3 linked regions of the Lepisosteus oculatus genome follow. The protein of the gene in region 3 interacts with the protein of the main gene of each other region in a biochemical or structural test. Links are inferred from orthologs where the notes say so. Each region holds a gene or a part of one and is shown on either strand. Other genes may lie near its edges.

Region 1 (7,884 bases), on a different chromosome or scaffold from region 3:
TAATTATTCAATTTTTAATTCCCAATTTTTCAGTGCACACAACATATTCCCAGGGTTATATGGTTATATGTACCACAGTTTTAAGTACCACAGTTTTAAACCACTGGATTAAAGCATTGCAGCAAAGCTAGAAAATCCTTAGCTAAATTGGAAGACTATGAATCCACTGTATGTAGTAGTAAATAAACACTATTACTGTATATTCCAACAGTATATTTATTGAGAACACAAAATATGGAAGAAAGGGACCAGTGGTGACAAAAGGAAAATATTTTAGTTTTTTTAATTGAACTAGTGACTTTTGCTTGTGCATCTTTGTGCCATTTGCTTTTCTTTTATTACTCTACCCACTGGGGCCCATGCTCTCTTTAAACAAATTTCCACCTTCTGGAGCACCATGGACAAAGGTGGTTTAATTTAGTGCAGACCTTTCTTTGTAGTGCACTTCTTTTCCTCGAACTTAATAAATTATTGCTCTGAAAAAATAACTATAAAGAATGTCAGTGAGGTTTTTTATGTGCAACATTGTTCTTCTGATTAGAAGACTGGACTTTTTTCTCTTTTAATCATTTTAACAACTTTTGATACTGTGGAGTGTTTGTTTTACACCATCGTTTGAGTACAACGTAACTAGATTTGACATGAATATGTTATGTGATTGAAAGGGCTTGTAGGACACCATACAGTTTCAATTTATCAGCTTCTTCATCTGACTCACTTCCAAATTATTGGTACCATTGATAAAGATGAGCAAGCATATGCTGTATAAAATAAATACGTGTAATAAGTGAAATTTTATGCTCAAAAATATAAAGAAACTACATTCTCTAGTGTATAGTGAGGAGGCAAAGGAAATTGTAAGGTCCAGAGGAGACGTGCTGACCTTACGTTACATCTAGGGACCACCAACTATCCAAAACTGCAGTTAGATGACGCCTCCATGCCAATAGATTATTTGGAATGTATAACAGAAAAAAAGATCCAAGAGAGTTCCAAGAGGTCCAAGGCTAGAGGTCGGAATGCGGGTTAAGCAAGGCAAACAAATCCAAAAAAGGGCGAGACGAAAGGGTTGTCGAAAGGTCCCAAGTGTCAGTGGTCAGACATTTGAGGACGAAGCAAGCTCAGGAGGCGGATAGATTCCTAATAACAAGCGAGGACTAGGAGTGAACGGAGGGTTTAAATAGTGAAGGAAGAAGAGATTGAATAATGAGGATTAATTGATGCCGGCTGTGCTTGTGACAAACAAATGTGTTGGAGTTTGCTAAACAGCCTCAGTAGTAGATTTGAACTGGGTGCTATGGTCAGCTGAGATGAAAAAAGAGCTGTATGGGCTGTACAGCAGCGGTGGATCCTACATCAACAGAAGGATACATATACAGAAAAGAACATAATAATCATTTTATTTGTTTAGAACCTTTCTACATTAAAATGCAGCTCAAATTGCTTTACATAGTGAGCATAAAATAACACAAAATATGAGAGGATACATAAAAGAATATGATAATAACAGTAATAGCAGATATAAAAATAAATGGAGTTTATAACTAAAGTTCAGGAGGGATGACAACGACCACGCTCAGTCGTACTCAGCTGTCAGTAATTAACAATCACTCCCATCACTCCCTCACGTACGACTTTTGCATCCCACCTCCACCCCAGCTCCACCTCCATAGCTACCCCTTGGTTACCCTGCGTGGGGGTCCTGGCCTCCTTGTCCTATGGCCAGGAGGTCGACCCTCAGTCAAGCGAGTTAAGCCAATATCTGCTCCATAATAGTTCATCACACTTTGATCTTCGGTGTAAAATTCCTAGTGAAATAGTAAAAACAAGAAATTAAAGAAAAATTGTATTGATGCAAAAGAAAAAGATTAAAGATAATTAAGAAAAATAAAATGTCAACATAAAATACAAGGGAAAAATATAATTAAAGCCAGCAGCTACAGCAGTATATCACCCTAGATATAAGGTGATATAACTCTCTATAGACATAACTGGCAGCCTACTGAAACTAAGCAGGTGTGAGTCTGGCCAGTACCTGGATGGAATACCTTCTGAAAAAAGCTAATATTGGTGTTGGAAGAGGTGTTAGTGGGGCCAGCAGGGGGAGCTCAACCTGTGGTTTGTGTGGCTTCCACCCCAATATAGAGACAGAGACACTATACTGTAAAAGGGCGCTGTCCTTCTGATGAGACATAAAACTGAGGACCTGACTTTCTGTGGCCATTAAAAATCCCAGGGTGTTTCTAAAAAATTGTGGGGTGTTACCTCGGCGTCCTGACCAAATTGCCCCCTGGCCTTTAGCACTTATTATCTCCTAATAATCTCCATCTATGAATTGGCTTTATCACTTTGTTCTCCAATTATAGCTGATGTGTGGTGAACATTCTGCCACATTATGGCTGCCATCACATCATCATGGTGGATGCTGCAAATTGGTGGTGGTGGAGGGGAGTCCCCATTACCTGTAAAGTGCTTTGAGTGAAGTATCCAGAAAAAATATTATTTATATAATATCATCTTCTTCTTTAATACATATACTCTATATGCTGGACAGGACACATACTATAATTACACATAATACTATATTATATGGTTAAAAAAATAAAGTTCATATTTTTATTTGAAATTACATATTTATAAGATGAATTTTATGGGGGAAAACATGTCAGTTTTTATAAGATTTCAAAGAGGATCTATTAGAATTAGCTAAGATAAGAAATATTGTCTGAGACAAATGTGTTATACGATTAGATAAGTATTAAACCATTTTAAGGCAGTTTCAGAGATACGATTCCAGTTTTCTAGGTGTTTCAGGAGTATACAGGGTCTATAGTGTTTAATCCTACACGGAAATCTAAAAGTACAGAATTGAGACATCGTCAGCATGCAGTCTCAGATCATTTACCACTTTTACTATTTGCAGTTTTGGTGCTATGACAAGATTTTCAGGAATATTTTGTTTATACAGGAAGTCATTTAAACACTACCTTTTCTAAGATTTTGCCAGAAAATGCAAGCTAGAAATGCTCAAAATTAAGAAGTCAAAATTACTTTTCTTAAGCAGGGGTTTGACTAGAGCAGTTTTAAGTTCTTCAGAAAAATACCTCTTTCTAAGGAACAGTTCAAAATACCTAGTACACTATTAGACTATCTAAGACGTCTTTAAATAAAAATGTTGGAATCAGATCAAGAGAGCAGGTTGAAGAATTTAGCTTTGAGACAATGAATGTAGTCACAGCATACCAAGGTTAAGTAACTGTAGGATTATATGCTAGTTCAGATGGAGTGGCTTATACTAGATTGAATGTTTGTAGTTTTCTTATCATAAACAACACAAACCTCTCACATTTTGATGAAGACACCAGGATAACCCAATCAGTGGGGGGTGATGAGTTTAATAGGCGATCAATAGTAAAGAATAATACTCTTGGATTTCTACCACTATCATTAATGATCCTTGAGAAGTACAGCTGCCTTTCAGTAGTATTTCCTTGTTATATATGTCTATGCACATTTTAAGTATTTCTTTGTGAACTATTAATTTGGTAATGAAAAATATGGTGGTGAATCAGAGCTATTATGTGACTATTTTGCTTCTACTTATTCCTGGGCCCTTGTTAAGGTCATCAACATCATGAATTCTACCAAATACCAAGATATTTGTCTGGCAGTGAAATGTCTTAGGGGTAGGCTAATGACCCAAAGCACATATTAAAATCCATAAAGAAATGGTGAGACAACTATAAATTAACATTTTAAAATCTCAGTCTCTGGACCAACTGAAAACCTGAATTAAAGAGGGCTGTCCATAAGCCCAGACCCAAGGATATAAAGAATCTGGAATGATTCTGTATGGAAGAATGGGGGTGTATAAGATCCCTCCCAATATGTTCTCCAGTCTCATAAAACATTATTGGAAATGGTTCAGTGCTATTATCATGCAAAAGGAAGGTTACACAAAGTACTGAAAGCAGGGGTACCAATAATTGTTACACTTATTTTTTCGGATATCAATTTTATAATTTGAGAAATGTGGAATTTAGCTTTCTACCATTGAATCATTAACAAAGTCAAAATATACAGCATTCTGCAAGTTGGAAAATTTAAACATAGCTCATTACCTGTGATGTTTATTTTATACAGACTTTTAAGCTCATCTTTATGAGGTGACGATAATTTTGGACATACTGTATGTATTACTAAAAGGAATTGTGATCAGTGGACTAGGCAGGTGTTCATAAGCCAATACTGAATCATAACAACCTATGTTTGAGACGTTTTGTTGTCGTTTTTCATTACAAAACTATAAATGCAGTGAATAATTTAATAATTAATATAATACTGTATATCTTTTTCTAAATATGTTTTAATTGTTTCCGTCCATTATTACTATTGAATAAGTAGCTTTGAAAGCAAGTGTAATTTCTTTGATTAAACATTCTCATAGCAAAAAAAGCATAAAAAATGAATACAGACTTTGCAAATTTTGTCATCACCATAGAAATTCATTTTTAGTCTCAGATTAAAATAAATTTACAGTATAATGAAATGAAACATCTTTTAACATTGAAGGTATATTGTAAAGAATAATATACTTTGACTCACAGTTTTCTAAATTTGCTAGAGAATGAGGTTAGCTGTAGAGGTTCACATTTGCATCTGAAGATTTAACACCCAGCACTCAAGCCTGCATTCTTGTTTGGCATGCATGAAAAAAAAGAGAAATGGGCTATACTCAATTGATTCCAGACGTCAGTAACATTTGGGATAGAGGGGGGAGGGTATGAAGACAGGGGGAGGAGGGGGAAGAGAAACATCTTCAAAAAACAGAGTTCTCCCTATCAAAATCAAAAACTAACCTTTGCCATTGTTTCATTATTCCTGATGAAGTGCAGGGTAAAACTGCAGTTTAGAGTCAGATGCTGCTGATAATGAATATGGGCCTTTTGATGTGAAAGAAGATGAAAAGAAACTGAGATGTGTTGATTTATGTTTTGCCATCTGTAAGTTATTGGACATGGTCCATACCTTGTTTCTCCATGGAAGGTATTACGTCTTCAAAATAGAGAAGAAGGGAAAAATAAAGATTTTGGAAGTTAATAGTATTAGTATTAATTTTAGTTAGCCCATTCTGTCTTTTTTTAAATACAATTCTCAGCTTTGACTGCTGAATTATGTTTCTCTAAGCCATAGGCTGTTGGCTCCCAGTAAAGGCATCAGCTGATTTTTTTTCACCTTTTTCCATTTTTTAAACTATTGTTTGATTTTTCTGGAAAGGTGATTAAGAGGCTTACGGAAGTTTGTGAGGCTGCTTTTTTTAGCACACAGATAAATTATTTTATGTTTCTTCGAACTAATTGAAGTTTCACTAAAAAAGAACAGATGCAGCCAGGTATGCATATGTAATTCCTCTCTTATAAGACACTGAAGAATCATCGCGGTAGCAGATGTGTGACCCTTGTGCACCTGCATTTCGTTAGTGAGCCATATTTTTCTTATGCCACACCGTAAGCCCATATTGATGACATAGCAGCTTTATAGTGCTGCGTGACTACATTTGGTTGCTGTGTTTTGTTAGCTCAGGACCACAGAGGTCTGGCACGGGCTGCTTGCTTCCTCCTAAGCCCCTATTCCGACAACGAACGCTACCTTACTGCTCCTGAAGTTGGGATATCAGACACACCATAGAGGTGCAAAGAAGGTAAGTGCTTTTGCAAACGTGTCCTGCAGTTTATGGGTACTTTTTTTCTTATTCCCATCTGAAACTCAGAATGCAGATGGACTGTGGATTGAAAAAAAAACCACTGCAACTCCTCTGTAACTACAGACTGCAGTGTGTAGCAGTGTATAAAGGTGTAACATGTAAATGGAAAAGTTACATATTGGAGTTCCAGTTGTACTTATGTTTTATAATTTAGATAGCAAAATATGTTGACTTTAGTTTCTAACTAGTATTTTTGACAGGTTTTAAAAGACGTTTGCAATCTTAAGCATTTTATGTAGGTAATCTATAGATGCTTCACGTTTGTCTCAGACAATATTTCTTGTCTTATCTAATTCTGATAGATCTTCTTTGAAATCTTAAATATAAATATATTTATAAAAAACTGGCATGCTTTTTTTTTCATAAAATCAGCTTATAAACGTGGACTTTTTTATAATTTATAATATGAGCTTTATTTTTTTACACTTATAGTCTTATGTGTAATTATAATATGTGTCCTGTCCAGCATATAGAGTATATGCATTTAGGAAGAAGATGATGCTACTCATATCTATTGTTTATCTTTGCTTTCAGCATATTATCTACATATACTGTACATGAAATGTGAATGCCCAGAAAGGTTTAGAAAATTCTATTACTTTTTGCCAGAGTTTGGAAAAGTTAACAGGTCCATCTGACTGTTTTATGTGTAGCTTCAGGGGATGTCTATGATTACTGCAGGTGTTCAGACACAAGTCAAATTACTGTTCTGGTCTTATACTGTAAGGTAGTTTTATGGTTTAACATAGCAACATTATAATTGTTTTTCTTATTTTCATTTGCAATGAACTAGAGACAAGGGGCATCAGATCCATCTGCTTTTCTTAAACAAGGCAGAGAACTTTGTCATTATTACCATGTTAAAACCATAGTAGAACACAGGTAAACATTGCAAGTGCTTCAGATGGTCACAGAGCTCATTAAATATATGGTGCAGAAACAAACTTAAAGTTTTACACTTGTATGCATATTATAACATATTTGATCCTAACTTTTGCGAATATATTTTTATATTATTGATCATTAGGTGTATCAGCAGAACATCAAATGAATGTGCTGTGCTTGGCAAGTGATTGACAGAGATTTTGATGATGATGAGCATCTCTGTTTGGAGCTCTGGCTCTTTTTTTTCAGAAGCCCTGCAGGCTTTAAGTTCTTGAAACACAAGCCACTGTATATCTATCTGAGGCTCCAATAATGGGCTTGTACTTGTAGACTGCATTTTTTGCTACTGTCAGTCACAAAAATGTAGAACAATTTTTACCATAAATAGCAAATTTGGCTTATAACAGCCTATGACTTTTAAGAAACTGTAAAGTACTTCCAGTCTGATGTAGCTGAGTGATGAAACATGTATAGAAAAATATATATTTAGAGGTTGAATTAATGTACTGGATATACTGTATATAATTTATTCTTTTTAGTTCTAACAGCTTTTGCTTTTATTGAAATGCATGTTTGATAAGAAATCAGAAATTACACTAATGAGGACTATTTAGTATGTAGGGAAACAATCTTACTTCTGAACCCTTGGGTTCAGTTCCAGTCTTATAATTATTAAGGCCTCATGACTCATTAATAGGAAACATATTCTCAAGACGTCACAAAATGTTTTTAGTGGCAGGAGCACAGCTATGGATAACAATAAAGAACTATAGAAATAATAAGAAAAGGTGTGCGAAAGATTTGCTTATTTCAATGAATTGTTAACCAAAATAAAATCATTTAATATTGTTTATACAGTACACATATAATATAATCAATTATGCAAACAAGTAAATTAAAAATAAATATCCACGATGAGCACATTCATATTGCTTGATTGTGATATTGAACCAGCAGCAGTAGTAGTAATAACAACAATAATAATTTTATTATTAATAGTGATGAAAGTGATCACTTAAAAATGTATGATTTGCAAAGACTATACACCTCAACTTTTCATGACCTTTACACTGAAAAATTAAAAAAAACAGTTTTATGTATCATTCAATATTTTCAACCCATTGCACGATGTACAACTAAGTTGGCAGGCTTTAGGATACTGTGTAACTGGAAGCAATATACAGTTTTTTTTTTCAACAGAAATGAGGTCCTAGAACTATCTGAAACAATACAAT
Region 2 (7,039 bases), on a different chromosome or scaffold from region 3:
TTAGGTGATTATTCATATCCTGTGATATATCTGTTCTGTGGGAGCCTTGCTTTTCAGAAATGCCCATTTTTAGCAACATAAAAGTACATTTTAAGCACAAAAAGAGCCATCAAAACTGTCAATAGCACTAGTGATCTGTTTGTAATTAGCACATGCCTGACATTTGAAATCAAAAGGAACTGAATTACAAAGCCAAGATACGCCCAGCAATGATTCAGTCACAAGTAACCAGTGACACATCAGGGGATTTAATTTCAGCTGTTGGACCTATCCCGCCTTTACAGTTTCAGCAGATCACCAGCTGAACCCGTAACGTCACTTTTCCATAATTTCCCTAAGTGAAGCACACCGACTCCCCACCAAGGCAACCTCAAAGACAAAGGGGGGCAATGACAAAAACGTCTTATGTAGTAGTAACAACACGCAGCGTCATATTCGTAAAAGCACAAATGCAAATCAAACTTATATATGTCATGTCACGGTCTTCTAGTTGAAATCGTTTTTAAAATGAAGTTAAACCCTTCGGTGTTTAATTATAAGCAACCTTCAGACTGGGACACACACACACATTCACTCCCCACGGTCGCCGTGCCTGCTTTCCGTAGCTGTTAATCAGAAAGTCAAGCGACGTGCGCTTTCACAAAACTGGGATGTGCGCCGTCATTCAGGAGCGCTTGAAATGCGCAGCTCATTTATCCACGGGCTGAAATCCGCATAGTTCAGGCCCAAACCACCAGAGAATCCCAGGGCAACTGCAACATGCAGGCCTATCTGAACAAATCCAGTACAGATCCCGACCAACTCCACACTCAAAAAAGATATGGATAGATTATTGCAAATTAGCATAACCGCAAAACATAAACGCTAACTGCTGTTTTCCACGAGTCTCGCAGACCTAATTAGCATTCCTTTTACGAGGACAGCACCAGGGGTAGTTCGCTGATTGGCGAGGGGGGGGTATAGGGATTTCAAAATCTTGACCGTTTTACATGTTACACGCAGCTCCATTTCAACAGCTCCCCGAGAATCCCTTCTACCGAAAACAGGAAACCTGAACGATTTGAAGACGTAACGAGTGAGGGACGCGAGTTGTCGACTTGCCCGACACTGAATGAAACAGCCAAGCCAGACGGCGGACAGTCACCCAAAACACAAACACCCCACCAGATCCCGGCAAACACGTCTACACGAAACAGGGCAGATATGACAGGCATGGGGGAGTTTTCCATAAGCGATGATAAACAAAGATGTGATCTTACCAATTTGTTTACAAATGTCCATTACAAAAATGTGCAAAATCTGTAAAAATCGACATTGGCCGTTTTTATTTGTTTACCAACACCTTCACAACTTCAGGCTCATATTGTGGTGGGGGTAAATATTTGGAAATGAACACACAATGACAGTGCGAATCTGGGAAGTTGGACTTAAAAGGACGCAAACGGAATACATTGTTTACCAGAGACCTTGCAAACTTTTCCAGAGTTTTCTTTCTAGGACTTCCTGTATCAGACGACTATCGCAGTTCGCGAATCACGATTTGACATCGGTAGCAAAATACTAACCACTACAATGAGTTACAACATACGAGACACATTTATATAGGCTCTCTCTCTCTCTGTGTGTGTGATTGTTTTTGTGCGCTACATTTTTACGTGAACAATAGTAATCGAGATCTAAGAAATCGGTCCGACAGCAAAGAAAACGTCCATCATATCTGCGACTCATTAAAATATCTTAACGTGCACTGCAAACGTTTTGGGCACTTGAGGCGTTTCGTAACGCAGTCCATTTTAAAAAGAGGCAAGGCTAAGAGACAGGTAGAGACATACCCAGTCTTCTGGGATGCATTAAACCTGTCCTGTTGAAAACACCCCGACATCACCGTTACAGGTGGCTTCGTGACTTAAACTTGCCAGTTGTACGTTTAGTGGCGAGGCAGTTGATCTTGACCCCTCTTGACGCGTCCCCCGCGAATGAATCCGTTTTAAAATAACAAAATCGACAACAGCAGGAGTTCGTGTAACGCACCCCACCTCAGGTAACAACCCCCCCCCCCAAAAAAAAACGCGGTTCTCTCACAGAGATTAACGTTACAGTTAATTTAGATGCATCTCACAAGTTAAAAGTTGGGTTCGATATTTCGCGAGTGGGGAAATGCCCAGTGCGTTTGTTTCAGATGGCATCCAGACATCACGCAAACTAAACGATCCTGACTGAATCTGAACTTGTGGATTGTGGATTGTGGATTGTGGATTGCATTCCGACACTGTCACAGCTTAAAACAATTAATACAACAGACCGCTACCTAGCGGGTTACAGGAGCGTGGAAACGTGTCACATTCATCTGCGCGAATATAGAAGTAAATCAGAACGTGATCTTACCTACATCTGCATTGCAAAAAGCCTGTTGTGGGTGGACGGGTGAGCAGCTGCAACCTTCCGCTATTTCTTTCACTCGCCACAGAAGCAGCACCGCCAGAGTGGCGAAGAAACTGCTAACAGTACAACTCATTTTGGTCTCCTCGCTTCGTCACCACCTCGCAGAAGAAAAACCTGACGTCTACGGATCGCAGAGAAACAACAACAACAACAACAAACAAAAAAAAAAGCCCGTCTTAAAAAATGTTCGGGTTCTCTCTCTCTTTTTTTTACAACAAAGAGTAATAAATACGAGCGAAGTTGCTGTTTTCGAGCAGCAGTTGAGAAGAGAGGTTGCAGTCGACAGTTCTGTGCAGAAATTCACCAGGACTGAGCAGCGCCGTAGGGGAGGTGGGGAAACGCGACCACTACCAGTATTTTCTCTCAAGCCGCCTTTCCTCAACACTCTCCTTCTACGGGTCTGTCTGTTTCCTTTTCGCTGAGATCAGCCTCATTTTTTTTATGGTTTGCTGTTGGGGCTCCTCCCATTCAGTAGTCGGGGGCGCTGGGCTTGCACCACAGATAGCTCTCGTCTGCTCGTGTTCCCCCTGTGCTCAACTCCCAGCATTTGTTTACGCGTTTCGGAGCCGCCAACTATTGTAATATCACCGTATGCGACCGTTTTATTAAAGAAGGCTTGCGGAAACGGGCTCATTCGTGTATTCACTGCATTAAAAAAAAACTACAGAGCTTTCGAAATAGCACATGAGGCGTGACAGTTCTGCTTTAAACTTGAAAATGTCCAATACGCGCGATAATATTTACTCCGAGGGACTGGGGGGGTGTCTCATTTAAATGCTCTTGAAGCAGAATGTAGAAATGAAAATTAAAAACGCACTACAGTCGCTTCAGCTTCAGAAATGTGTTATTTAATCTCAATTCAAACCATAAAGGAATTTTAGAACCGTGGGAGTGTCAGTTGTGCAGGGTTTCGATGGGGCTCAAGGCCTAAGCATCTGCTGTAGGTTCTTTCCTGATCTTTAGTTTTCCACTTGCTCAGAAAAGACTGAGCATGGTTCTAGGCCTTACTCGGACACTCAGATTCCCAAGACTCAGACAGGCTGTCCAGACACTCTTATGGTCCTAAACTGAGTATATCTGGGAGTACGAATGGAATCAACATGATTCACACCGCGGAAAGTTAGGTGCCGCAGCTCAGACAGAGATTGTGTGGTATTTACAGCTTTTCATCTTCAATTTTAAGTTCTTCATCCCCTGCTCAATAAAATGATGAAAGAGGAATGACTGTTCCAACTGCAGAAGTGGTTTGCCTCTTGGGACAGCTGTCACGATCACTCAAAATGTTTCAGTATGGCCACAAAAAATCTCTTGGAGAGTGGGAGATAGCCTTGGGGGTTTGCTTCTGATGCAGGAAGAACCCCAAGATCCTATTGACTATCACCATCATCCCCCTGCTGTCTGGCTTCGTTCTGTAGGATTTTTTTAAAAAAAGCATGGAGGCATTAGCTGTTGAGATTCACTGAGTGAAAGACTGATTCTCTTCAACTGCACCTCCTTTAAAGTGTCTGTCTGTGGAATGGGATTGCTGAATTCCAGATGCATTATTGTGAGTAACAGTATCCCTTATACAGTAGCAAAGTTTGCCCAAAGCTTCACAGTGACTGCAAGACTTCAGCAGCCGAGACAGCTTCTGGGACAAAATACCACAGAATGGCACAGCAACACAGAAAGAGGTGACATCATCCCATTAAAGACAATCGCTTCAATCTGGGTTCAGTTCTTTCTTTGGTGATTTATTTTTGTCTTGCTGAATAAAACATTATGGTTATGTCCTTTAGGCATTTCCTTCTTCCCTATAAACCAACATTCCTGTCTTTACTTGAAATTCCCAGCAATTAGACTAACCCCCCCCCCCCCCAAAAAACAAAATCCCAAAATTCTGTTCTGAGACCCATGGTTAGAATGCAAGTAATGAAAACAACAGGAATAATAATAAGAAATAATTTGGAAAATATAGTGCGTATTTGCAGCTCCTCCATTACATCACTGACATTATTCTTGGCAGCACTATAGTGACTGCCTTGGGCTTCTGGGAAAGCATTTCCGCAGTTTTTCTGTTATTTAGTTTTTTTTTTTTACCATTTAGTGCTTAAACAGGACTCAGCCACAATGAGTATTCAAAGTTCTTTAATTCTGCACAGAGAAGCCCTTTAAAAACTCCACTAAGTCAACCCCCCCCCCCCCCCACTGTTCTGCAAGTTAATAAAAAACAGTTGCTGTCCATTACTGAACTGCATCACGTGGTTATGAGTATCTTGTCTCGTAGAACACCACACTATATTCCAGAGTTTGCTGCTCGCTTGTGACAAACATTCCATACATAAGTTCCATAACCTTATTCCATATCCAACAAACTACATTTCAGTAGTTTCTTGAAATTCTTATTAAGACCAAATGAGCCGATGTATAGACAGGAATAATGTGCTTAATACTCCTCCTAGCCAAAGATCACTGCTGTCGCAACCTCCCTTATGTATGAGGAATGAACTAGGGAGACAGCTGCAAGGGTGCAGTTGGGGTGGAGTTGAGCTAGAAAAGAGGCGCACAGAGCTGTGGGCAGCTGGCTATTATTTATACATAGGAGAGTGGAAGTGCTAGATTATAGTCTTCTTGGATCTTTATTAAATAACCCAATCTACGGTGGGGCAAAAAAGAATGTCACACATGCACTGGCAGGGTGGCACTGTGGCACAGTGGTCAGCGGGAGCCCTGAGTTCAATTCCTGCAGTGCTATCTGTGTAGAGTATGTATGTTCTCCCTGTGCTTCCTCTGCGTGCTCTGGTTTCCTCCCACAGTCCAAATACATCGTGGTAGGTTAACTGGCTTCTGGAAAAATGATGCCCAAGTGTGAGTGTGTGCTGGTGTCTGCCTTGCGCCTGTTGCTTGCTGAAACAGGTTCTGGCTCCCACATGACCCTGTATTGGATAGAAAGTGGATGGATGAACGCACTGGGGCTTTAATCTGAGAAATGTCCGGCACAGCCCAGCATGGTAGTACAATAGTGACAGGTGTGACCAGCAGAAGTAAAGCACAGCAAATATGTTGCTCAGCATTCTTGCAGTTTCTGGGGGTATCGCTGTATACACTTATCTATTCCAATTCTGGTGCTTCCTCCTAAAATGGCAAAAATAAGCAGGAACGCAATCTCATATAAACTTGCAACATTATTACTCCCAATTGAGATATACTATAGCTCAAACTGGAGTGTGGTCTGGTAAAGCACAGGAATATTGCTGCAAAGCTTGAGGAAGCGTGGTATAGGCCAACCTCTGGCTGAGCAAGGGAACTGCATGGCATCAGCATTATAAAGCCACAAACATGTGTCAAGTGTTCCATGGTAAACTTTTATAAACATCCTTCCGTGTGTGTAAATGATGAGGCTGCAATGATGTGGGAATATACCCAAGCTCTAAAGTTTTATTTTGACTTAAAACGAACCTAATCCCCAAATACATAATATTTATGAGCTTCAACTATAGTTATCTATAGAAAAATATCAGAGTCCCTAGAGCTAGAAAGTACAACATGAAAATTACATATCAAACAAAAGATATATCATATGTGACCTCTATAAGCCTAGAAATCCACCAGAGCTTCAGCCCCAGATCACTGTTGTTCAGGTGAAGTTGCTCCCCCAAAAAATGTTTAAAACAAACGTGAAGTCACCCAAGACGTTTCTCTTTTCCAGCAGCCTTGTGAACAAGGTTTATCATAGTTTGGCTTTTTTTTGCAGATTTTGCTCATGTTCGACATCTTTCTCCACCAAAAGGCGTTAAGTTTGAGTGTTCAAGGTTCAAGTAAAAAATACTCACTTTAAGAAAGCGCACACAGCACATGATTTTGCAACTCACCCTTTTGGGCTGTCGCTGGCAGGGGGTGAAAATCTTTGCAAAGCACTGGAGATGACTGACAGAAGATTCTGTATACTTCCATACAAATTGTTATCCTTTGCATGGGAGGTTCTTCAGAAATTCTCCTAAATGAGATTTGTGGAAGCCTGTCTGTCTTATGGGAGCATACCTTTGTCAGCTACTGTACAGTACATCACTTGTCAAGGACATCTTGGCAAAGTTATTTTCAGTCAAGCCTTCAATGACAAGATTTAAAACCCACAGGTTTATGCAGGCTGTCTAGACTTTCCCTTTATCTCGAGCTCTTTGTCTGATCTACGATAGATCTGACAGCACCGCACAGTAAAGCTGAATAAGGCCAATTACGTGAAAGTGCTGTTGTTACACAGGGCTGGCCAGTCTTTGTTTTGTGATGGACAGCTGAGACTCTCCGGTGAAATCTGCCGATCGATGCAAGCAGTACAATTAATGAAAGGAAATGACACATCCAGGGGAAAATATGCCAACACAATTTTGCTTTTAAGACCCACAGAGCCAAACCCACATCTTTCCCGCACTTATTTATATTTGCGCAGGAAGGCTGAGCCCCAATACACAAACATTTAGCCTGGCTCCCATGTCTGTATCACACTGATGTGGTCTACATGGGAGACGAGTGTATGATGACCGCACTGAGAGTCCACTTCCTGAAACCCTCTGAAGTGACTTCAAGTACATTTGAACAACAGCGGGAACAGACCCAATTA
Region 3 (7,100 bases):
CTTCTCTCGTCCCCGGGCTAGAAACGCGCACGACGCGCCCCGACACGGCCCAGAGACCCCCGCAGGCGTGAGCCCCGCTTCCAACAGACCTCCAGCGACCCCGAGGCGCTTGTCCACCCGGCCGCGTCCCCGGCTCTGTCTCCTCGCCTCGTCCCGCTGGGCGGCCGTGTTGACGCAGGGCTGGGAGTTGGGACTTCCGTGTTCAGCTGTGAGCGCAGGAGTGACGGAGGAGGGAGAGAGAGAGAGACCTGCCCCACTTCTCCGGCACTCCCTCCCTCTCGGTGCGTAACTGTCCCTGGACAGGTCTAACTGTGTCCCGGCTGTGGTCACTGAGCCTGTCCTCTCTGGACAGTCAGGTCTGTCTGTGTCCAGTGTCTGTGTCCAGGCTGTGGTCACTGAGCCTGTCCTCTCTGGACAGTCAGGTCTGTCTGTGTCCAGTGTCTGTGTCCAGGCTGTGGTCACTGAGCCTGTCCACTCTGGACAGCCAGGTCTGCCTGTGTCCAGGCAATGGTCACTGAGCCTGTCCTCTCTGGTAAGCCAGGTCTGCCTGTGTCCAGTGTCTGTGTCCAGGCTGTGGTCACTGAGCCTGTCCTCTCTGGCAAGCCAGGTCTGCCTGTGTCCAGGCTGTGGTCATTGTCCAGACTCCTTTCTGCCCTCAGTCTTTGAGTGCAGGTGAAGCAGTCCCAGGTGAAGTACGTTATCTCATACACAGAGGGATTCTACTGAACCCTAAACAGACAATACACACTAGCTGAATATTTGACCAAGATAAGAAACAACAAACAGAAACAGACCCTGACGAAGTACAGGCTCAGTGACCACAGCCTGGCCATAGAAACTGGGCGACACAGGCAGACCTGGCTGTCCAGAGAGGACAGGCTCAGTGACCACAGCCTGGCCATAGAAACTGGACACAGACAGACCTGGCTGTCCAGAGAGGACAGGCTCAGTGACCACAGCCTGGACACAGAAACTGGACACAGACAGACTTGGCTGTCCAGAGAGGACAGGCTGTGCTCCCACTGCCAGCAGGGAGAAATAGAGACAGAGGTGCACTTCCTACTGCACTGTGACAGATACTCTGGGATTAGAGAAACATTCCCAGAGTTCCCACACCTGCCAGAATCACAACGGGTCCCAATCCTACTGGGAGAGGGAGGAGGGAACTCAGTTGAACTGGCAGCCCAGTGTGTGATCTCCTGTCACAGCCTGAGGAACAGTGAGTCTGTCTCCCAATAATGCTCAATATGTTTACAGTATACTTAAATATTTTATGATATGTCTTTGTTGTAAATGTCTGTAATATGTCTGTAGATTTTATTTTATTTTTTGTTTTGTTTCATGTGAATTTTATTAATTTTATTTGCTTTGGCAACACTGATTGTATCCATCGGTCATGCTAATAAAGCACCTCGAACTGAATTGAAAATTGAATTGCGTCTTCCTGTCTGCTAATTCAGAGCCCGCTCCCTGGCTCGAGACCGGACAGCTCTCAGCCGGCGACCCCACCTTTTCGACAGCCGGAGCAAAAGTTCACAAAAAGCGCCGCCAAAATAGAAAACAGAAAGACCTGGTGTACGGTCCGCTCGGTGGGTGACGTTGTGTTGTTGTATGGGACTGTGTGTAAGACACGTTACCCCCAGTGGATGAAACAGCTTCAACTACCCGGAGACTCAGAGTCCCGGACGGAGGCCGTGAAGCCCTGCTCTACTTACACACGGCCTCACGTCTGGGGGGGAGGAGGCGTGCGCACCCCCCAAATAACTACTGTTGGGGGACGTTCCCCACGGAGACGGGCGCCACCAGACTGAACCTCCGTGTGATACCCAGCCGTAACAGCAGGGGGCGCCCGCGCTCTATTCCAGAGGGCCCCGCTCGGCACCCGCGTCTCGGAGACTCCAGTGAAGTCGTAATGACTGCACTCCGCCGTCAGGACACTGGGCTTTCACGGGAAAGGAGCCAGGAAAGATTCCTGCAGACGGGAGTGCAGGACAGCACAGAACAGAGCATAGCAGAGTATAGCACAGTGTAGTAGAGTGTGGTTAATGCACAGTAGTGGAGAGAGAAATTAGGGATCAGAGAAACATTCTTCCCTAAATTTACAAATCTAATCCCAGAATTCCCACACCTGCCAGAATCACAACGGGTCCCAATCCTACTGGGAGCGGGAGGAGGGAACTCAGTTGAACTGGCAGCACAGTGTGTGATCTCCTGTCCCAGCCTGAGGAACAGACAGTGAGCCTGTCTCTCAATAATAATAATACAGTGTGTGATCTCCTGTCACAGCCTGAGGAACAGACAGTGAGCCTGTCTCTCAATAATAATAATACAGTGTGTGATCTCCTGTCACAGCCTGAGGAACAGACAGTGAGCCTGTCTCTCAATAATAATAATACAGTGTGTGATCTCCTGTCACAGCCTGAGGAACAGACAGTGAGCCCGTCTCTCAATAATAATAATACAGTGTGTGATCTCCTGTCACAGCCTGAGGAACAGTGAGCCTGTCTCTCAATAATAATAATACAGTGTGTGATCTCCTGTCACAGCCTGAGGAACAGACAGTGAGCCTGTCTCTCACTAATAATAATACAGTGTGTGATCTCCTGTCACAGCCTGAGGAACAGTGAGCCTGTCCCTCAATAATAATAATACAGTGTGTGATCTCATGTCACAGCCTGAGGAACAGACAGTGAGCCTGTCTCTCAATAATAATAATACAGTGTGTGATCTCCTGTCACAGCCTGAGGAACAGTGAGCCTGTCTCTCAATAATAATAATACAGTGTGTGATCTCCTGTCACAGCCTGAGGAACAGACAGTGAGCCTGTCTCTCAATAATTACAATACAGTGTGTGATCTCCTGTCACAGCCTGAGGAACAGACAGTGAGCCCGTCTCTCAATAATAATAATACAGTGTGTGATCTCCTGTCACAACCTGAGGAACAGACAGTGAGCCTGTCTCTCAGTAATGCACTGAGAGAGAGGGGTTAATACAGACACACTGACTGATTGGACACTCCAGTACATTAACACTGCACTGAGAGAGAGGGGTTCATACAGACACACTGACTGACTGGACACTCCAGTACATTAACACTGCACTGAGAGAGAGAGGTTCATACAGACACACTGACTGACTGGACACTCCAGTACATTAACACTGCACTGAGAGAGAGGGGTTCATACAGACACACTGACTGACTGGACACTCCAGTACATTAACACTGCACTGAGAGAGAGGGGTTCATACAGACACACTGACTGACTGGACACTCCAGTACATTAACACTGCACTGAGAGAGAGGGGTTCATACAGACACACTGACTGGACACTCCAGTCCATGAACACTGCACTGAGAGAGAGGGGTTCATACAGACACACTGACTGACTGGACACTCCAGTACATTAACACTGCACTGAGAGAGAGGGGTTCATACAGACACACTGACTGACTGGACACTCCAGTACATGAACACTGCACTGAGAGAGAGGGGTTCATACAGACACACTGACTGACTGGACACTCCAGTACATTAACACTGCACTGAGAGAGAGGGGTTCATACAGACACACTGACTGACTGGACACTCCAGTACATTAACACTGCACTGAGAGAGAGGGGTTCATACAGATACCCTGACTGGACACTCCAGTACATTAACACTGCACTGAGAGAGAGGGGTTCATACAGACACACTGACTGACTGGACACTCCAGTACATTAACACTGCACTGAGAGAGAGGGGTTCATACAGGTTTTGAACTCATAAACTCCTGCCTGCGAAGGCAGAGCGGAGCGCTGACCACCAGGTGGCGCCGCGGTGCGCCAATCTCTCCGCGTGTCTCCAAGCGACAGGCTGCTGATGTTCGCTGGCAGGAGTGGAGCTGGAGCACGGGGGGGAGAGAGGGAGAGGGAGAGGGAGAGGGAGGGAGAGAGGGAGAGGGAGGGAGAGAGGGAGAAGGAGGGAGGCACATCTGGACTGGGGGCTGGGCGAAACCAAACGGAAGTTTTTTTTTTTACTTTTCCTAGAGGCATCAAGACTTAGTGGGGACAGAAACACCACGTCTGCAGGAGAGAGAGAGAGGGAGGGAGGGAGAGGGAGACAGAACCCCAGGACGCCAGCGAGGAGCGAGCAAACAAAGGAAAGAGACGAGGAAAGACAGTCGGGGCCTCATTCCAGCGGCGGAGCTAACGGACTGTCTTCCCGGAGAAAAGAAAACACTCGCAAAAAACTTGTAGAACAACTTCTTTTCAAAAACACAGAAACAAAAGGGAAAAAAACCCTCTCTTTCAGGAGCTACAGAAAAGTTGACAACTTTTGCCTGAACTCGCCCGCAGAGCGCGCTCTCTCTCTCTCTCTCGGGTCTGCAGGCGAGCCCACGCGTGTCTCCCGCTCGCGTGACCGTGGCAGTCGAGGACAGCTGACGCAGGCGGGTTCGAGAAACCCTGCTAGGTCGCCACTTTTAGGAGACAGAAACAGAGCCCGATCGAGATCCAGCCTCGTCACCGAGGGCAGAGGAAGGAGGAGAGAGAGTCGGGACTCGCGGCGGACGAGGACACGCGAGGCGGGGATCCGGCGCGAGCGAGGAGGATGCCACGGCTCGAGGCGGCGCTGACCCGGCTGCTGTGGCTCGCGGTGGCCGGCGGGCTGTGCGCGCTCCCGGGGGCGCAGGGAGCGGCCGGCGGGCACGGGCTCAAAGCGGAGGTCAGTCGCTCTGCTTCCTGTCTCTCGCCGGGGGCGGTCAGACACGGGAGACCGGGGTCTCACAGCGGGCGGGCGGACTGGGAAAGCGATGTCATGAGACAGATAGAGGGCCAGAGGGCCAGACTGACAGGCTGACAGAGACAGATAGAGAAGGACAGACTGACAGGGACAGATAGAGAGGGACAGACTGACAGAGACAGAGGGCCAGGCTGACAGAGACAGAGAGAGAGGGCCAGGCTGACAGAGACAGATAGAGAGAGACAGAGACAGAGAGGGACAGACAGAGAGAGACAGACTGACGGGGACAGGGACAGAGGGCCACACTGACAGAGACAGATAGAGAGGGACAGAGACAGAGGGCCGCACTGACAGAGACAGATAGAGAGGGACAGAGACAGAGGGCCACACTGACAAGAGACAGATAGAGAGGGACAGAGACAGAGGGCCACACTGACAGAGACAGATAGAGAGGGACAGAGACAGAGGGCCACACTGACAGAGACAGATAGAGAGGGACAGAGACAGAGGGCCACACTGACAAGAGACAGATAGAGAGGGACAGAGACAGAGGAACAAACTGACAGAGACATAGAGAGGGACAGAGACAGAGAGGGACAGACTGACAGAGACAGATAGAGAGGGACAGAGACAGAGGGACAGAGAGAGAGAGGGGGGGGGACAGACTGATAGAGAAACAGAGAGAGACAGACTGACAGAGGGACAGAGAGAGACAGAGGGACAGACAGTGAGAGGGACAGAGGTAGACAGATACAGTGAGAGGGTTTTAGCTGGAGGCTGTGTTGCTGTGAGCAGAGGCAGGAGGAGGACTGGTTGAAGTTGTGGAGAGAGGAGAAGGGGAAGAGACAGGAATGTGAGGACTGTGTTGTTGTGGTCAGGAGAGGGAGGGGTAGAGGGGCTGAGAGAGGGGGATCTCTGCACTGGTTCTGTTAGTGTCTCTCCAGCAGGAGACACACAGAGAGAGAGAGGGATCTCTGCACTGGTTCTGTTAGTGTCTCTCCAGCAGGAGACACACACACACACAGAGAGGGGGATCTCTGCACTGGTTCTGTTAGTGTCTCTCCAGCAGGAGACACACACACACACACAGAGGGGGATCTCTGCACTGGTTCTGTTAGTGTCTCTCCAGCAGGAGACACACACACACACAGAGAGGGGGATCTCTGCACTGGTTCTGTTAGTGTCTCTCCAGCAGGAGACACACACACACACACAGAGGGGGATCTCTGCACTGGTTCTGTTAGTGTCTCTCCAGCAGGAGACACACACACACACAGAGAGGGGGATCTCTGCACTGGTTCTGTTAGTGTCTCTCCAGCAGGAGACACACACACACACACACAGAGGGGGATCTCTGCACTGGTTCTGTTAGTGTCTCTCCAGCAGGAGACACACACACACAGAGGGGGATCTCTGCACTGGTTCTGTTAGTGTCTCTCCAGCAGGAGACACACACACACACACAGAGAGAGAGAGGTATCTCTGCACTGGTTCTGTTAGTGTCTCTCCAGCAGGAGACACACACACAGAGAGGGGGATCTCTGCACTGGTTCTGTTAGTGTCTCTCCAGCAGGAGACACACACACAGAGAGGGGGATCTCTGCACTGGTTCTGTTAGTGTCTCTCCAGCAGGAGACACACAGAGAGGGAGATCTCTGCACTGGTTCTGTTAGTGTCTCTCCAGCAGGAGACACACACACACACACACAGAGGGGGATCTCTGCACTGGTTCTGTTAGTGTCTCTCCAGCAGGAGACACACACACACACAGAGAGAGAGAGGTATCTCTGCACTGGTTCTGTTAGTGTCTCTCCAGCAGGAGACACACACACAGAGAGGGAGATCTCTGCACTGGTTCTGTTAGTGTCTCTCCAGCAGGAGACACACACACACACACAGAGGGGGATCTCTGCACTGGTTCTGTTAGTGTCTCTCCAGCAGGAGACACACACACACAGACACACACACACAGAGGGGGATCTCTGCACTGGTACTGTTAGTGTCTCTCCAGCAGGAGACACACAGAGAGAGAGAGGGATCTCTGCACACTGGTTCTGTTAGTGTCTCTCCAGCAGGAGACACACAGAGAGAGAGAGGGATCTCTGCACTGGTTCTGTTAGTGTCTCTCCAGCAGGAGACACAGAGTGAGGAAGAAGAGAGAGAGAAGGAGGGAGAGGGAGGGATAGAGAGGGAAGCAGGAAGAGAAGGAGAGAGAGACGGAAAGCAGGTCATCACAAAGCCAGGAGATGCTCAATGGAGTTAAAGTGGACCTGGAAACACTTGTGTGGGGGGTGAGAAATGTGCTGAGGTGCTTTTTCACAACAAATCTTGGTCCAGTCCTCTCCGTACACACGCTGTCTGAGAGTCCAGTCCTC

What was found.
Region 1: the proteins of mmp14a (region 3) and lum interact in a biophysical measurement, tested with the Homo sapiens proteins (2 studies listed by BioGRID and IntAct, with this or other methods). The link is inferred for Lepisosteus oculatus from reciprocal best matches to the Homo sapiens genes MMP14 and LUM.
Region 2: the proteins of mmp14a (region 3) and timp2a form a complex in vitro, tested with the Homo sapiens proteins (2 studies listed by BioGRID). The link is inferred for Lepisosteus oculatus from reciprocal best matches to the Homo sapiens genes MMP14 and TIMP2.

The regions. Positions count from the first base shown.
Region 1 is NC_090702.1:16,445,518-16,453,401, forward strand, and holds the start of lum (lumican), read left to right. Parts: upstream 1-4,862; 5' UTR 4,863-5,003; intron 5,004-5,578; 5' UTR 5,579-5,701; intron 5,702-7,884.
Region 2 is NC_090704.1:41,266,062-41,273,100, reverse strand, and holds the start of timp2a (metalloproteinase inhibitor 2a), read right to left. Parts: upstream 3,013-7,039; 5' UTR 2,516-3,012; coding exon 2,386-2,515; intron 1-2,385. UniProt on the Homo sapiens protein: Complexes with metalloproteinases (such as collagenases) and irreversibly inactivates them by binding to their catalytic zinc cofactor. Known to act on MMP-1, MMP-2, MMP-3, MMP-7, MMP-8, MMP-9, MMP-10, MMP-13, MMP-14, MMP-15, MMP-16 and MMP-19.
Region 3 is NC_090699.1:13,065,788-13,072,887, forward strand, and holds the start of mmp14a (matrix metalloproteinase-14a), read left to right. Parts: upstream 1-4,040; 5' UTR 4,041-4,593; coding exon 4,594-4,707; intron 4,708-7,100.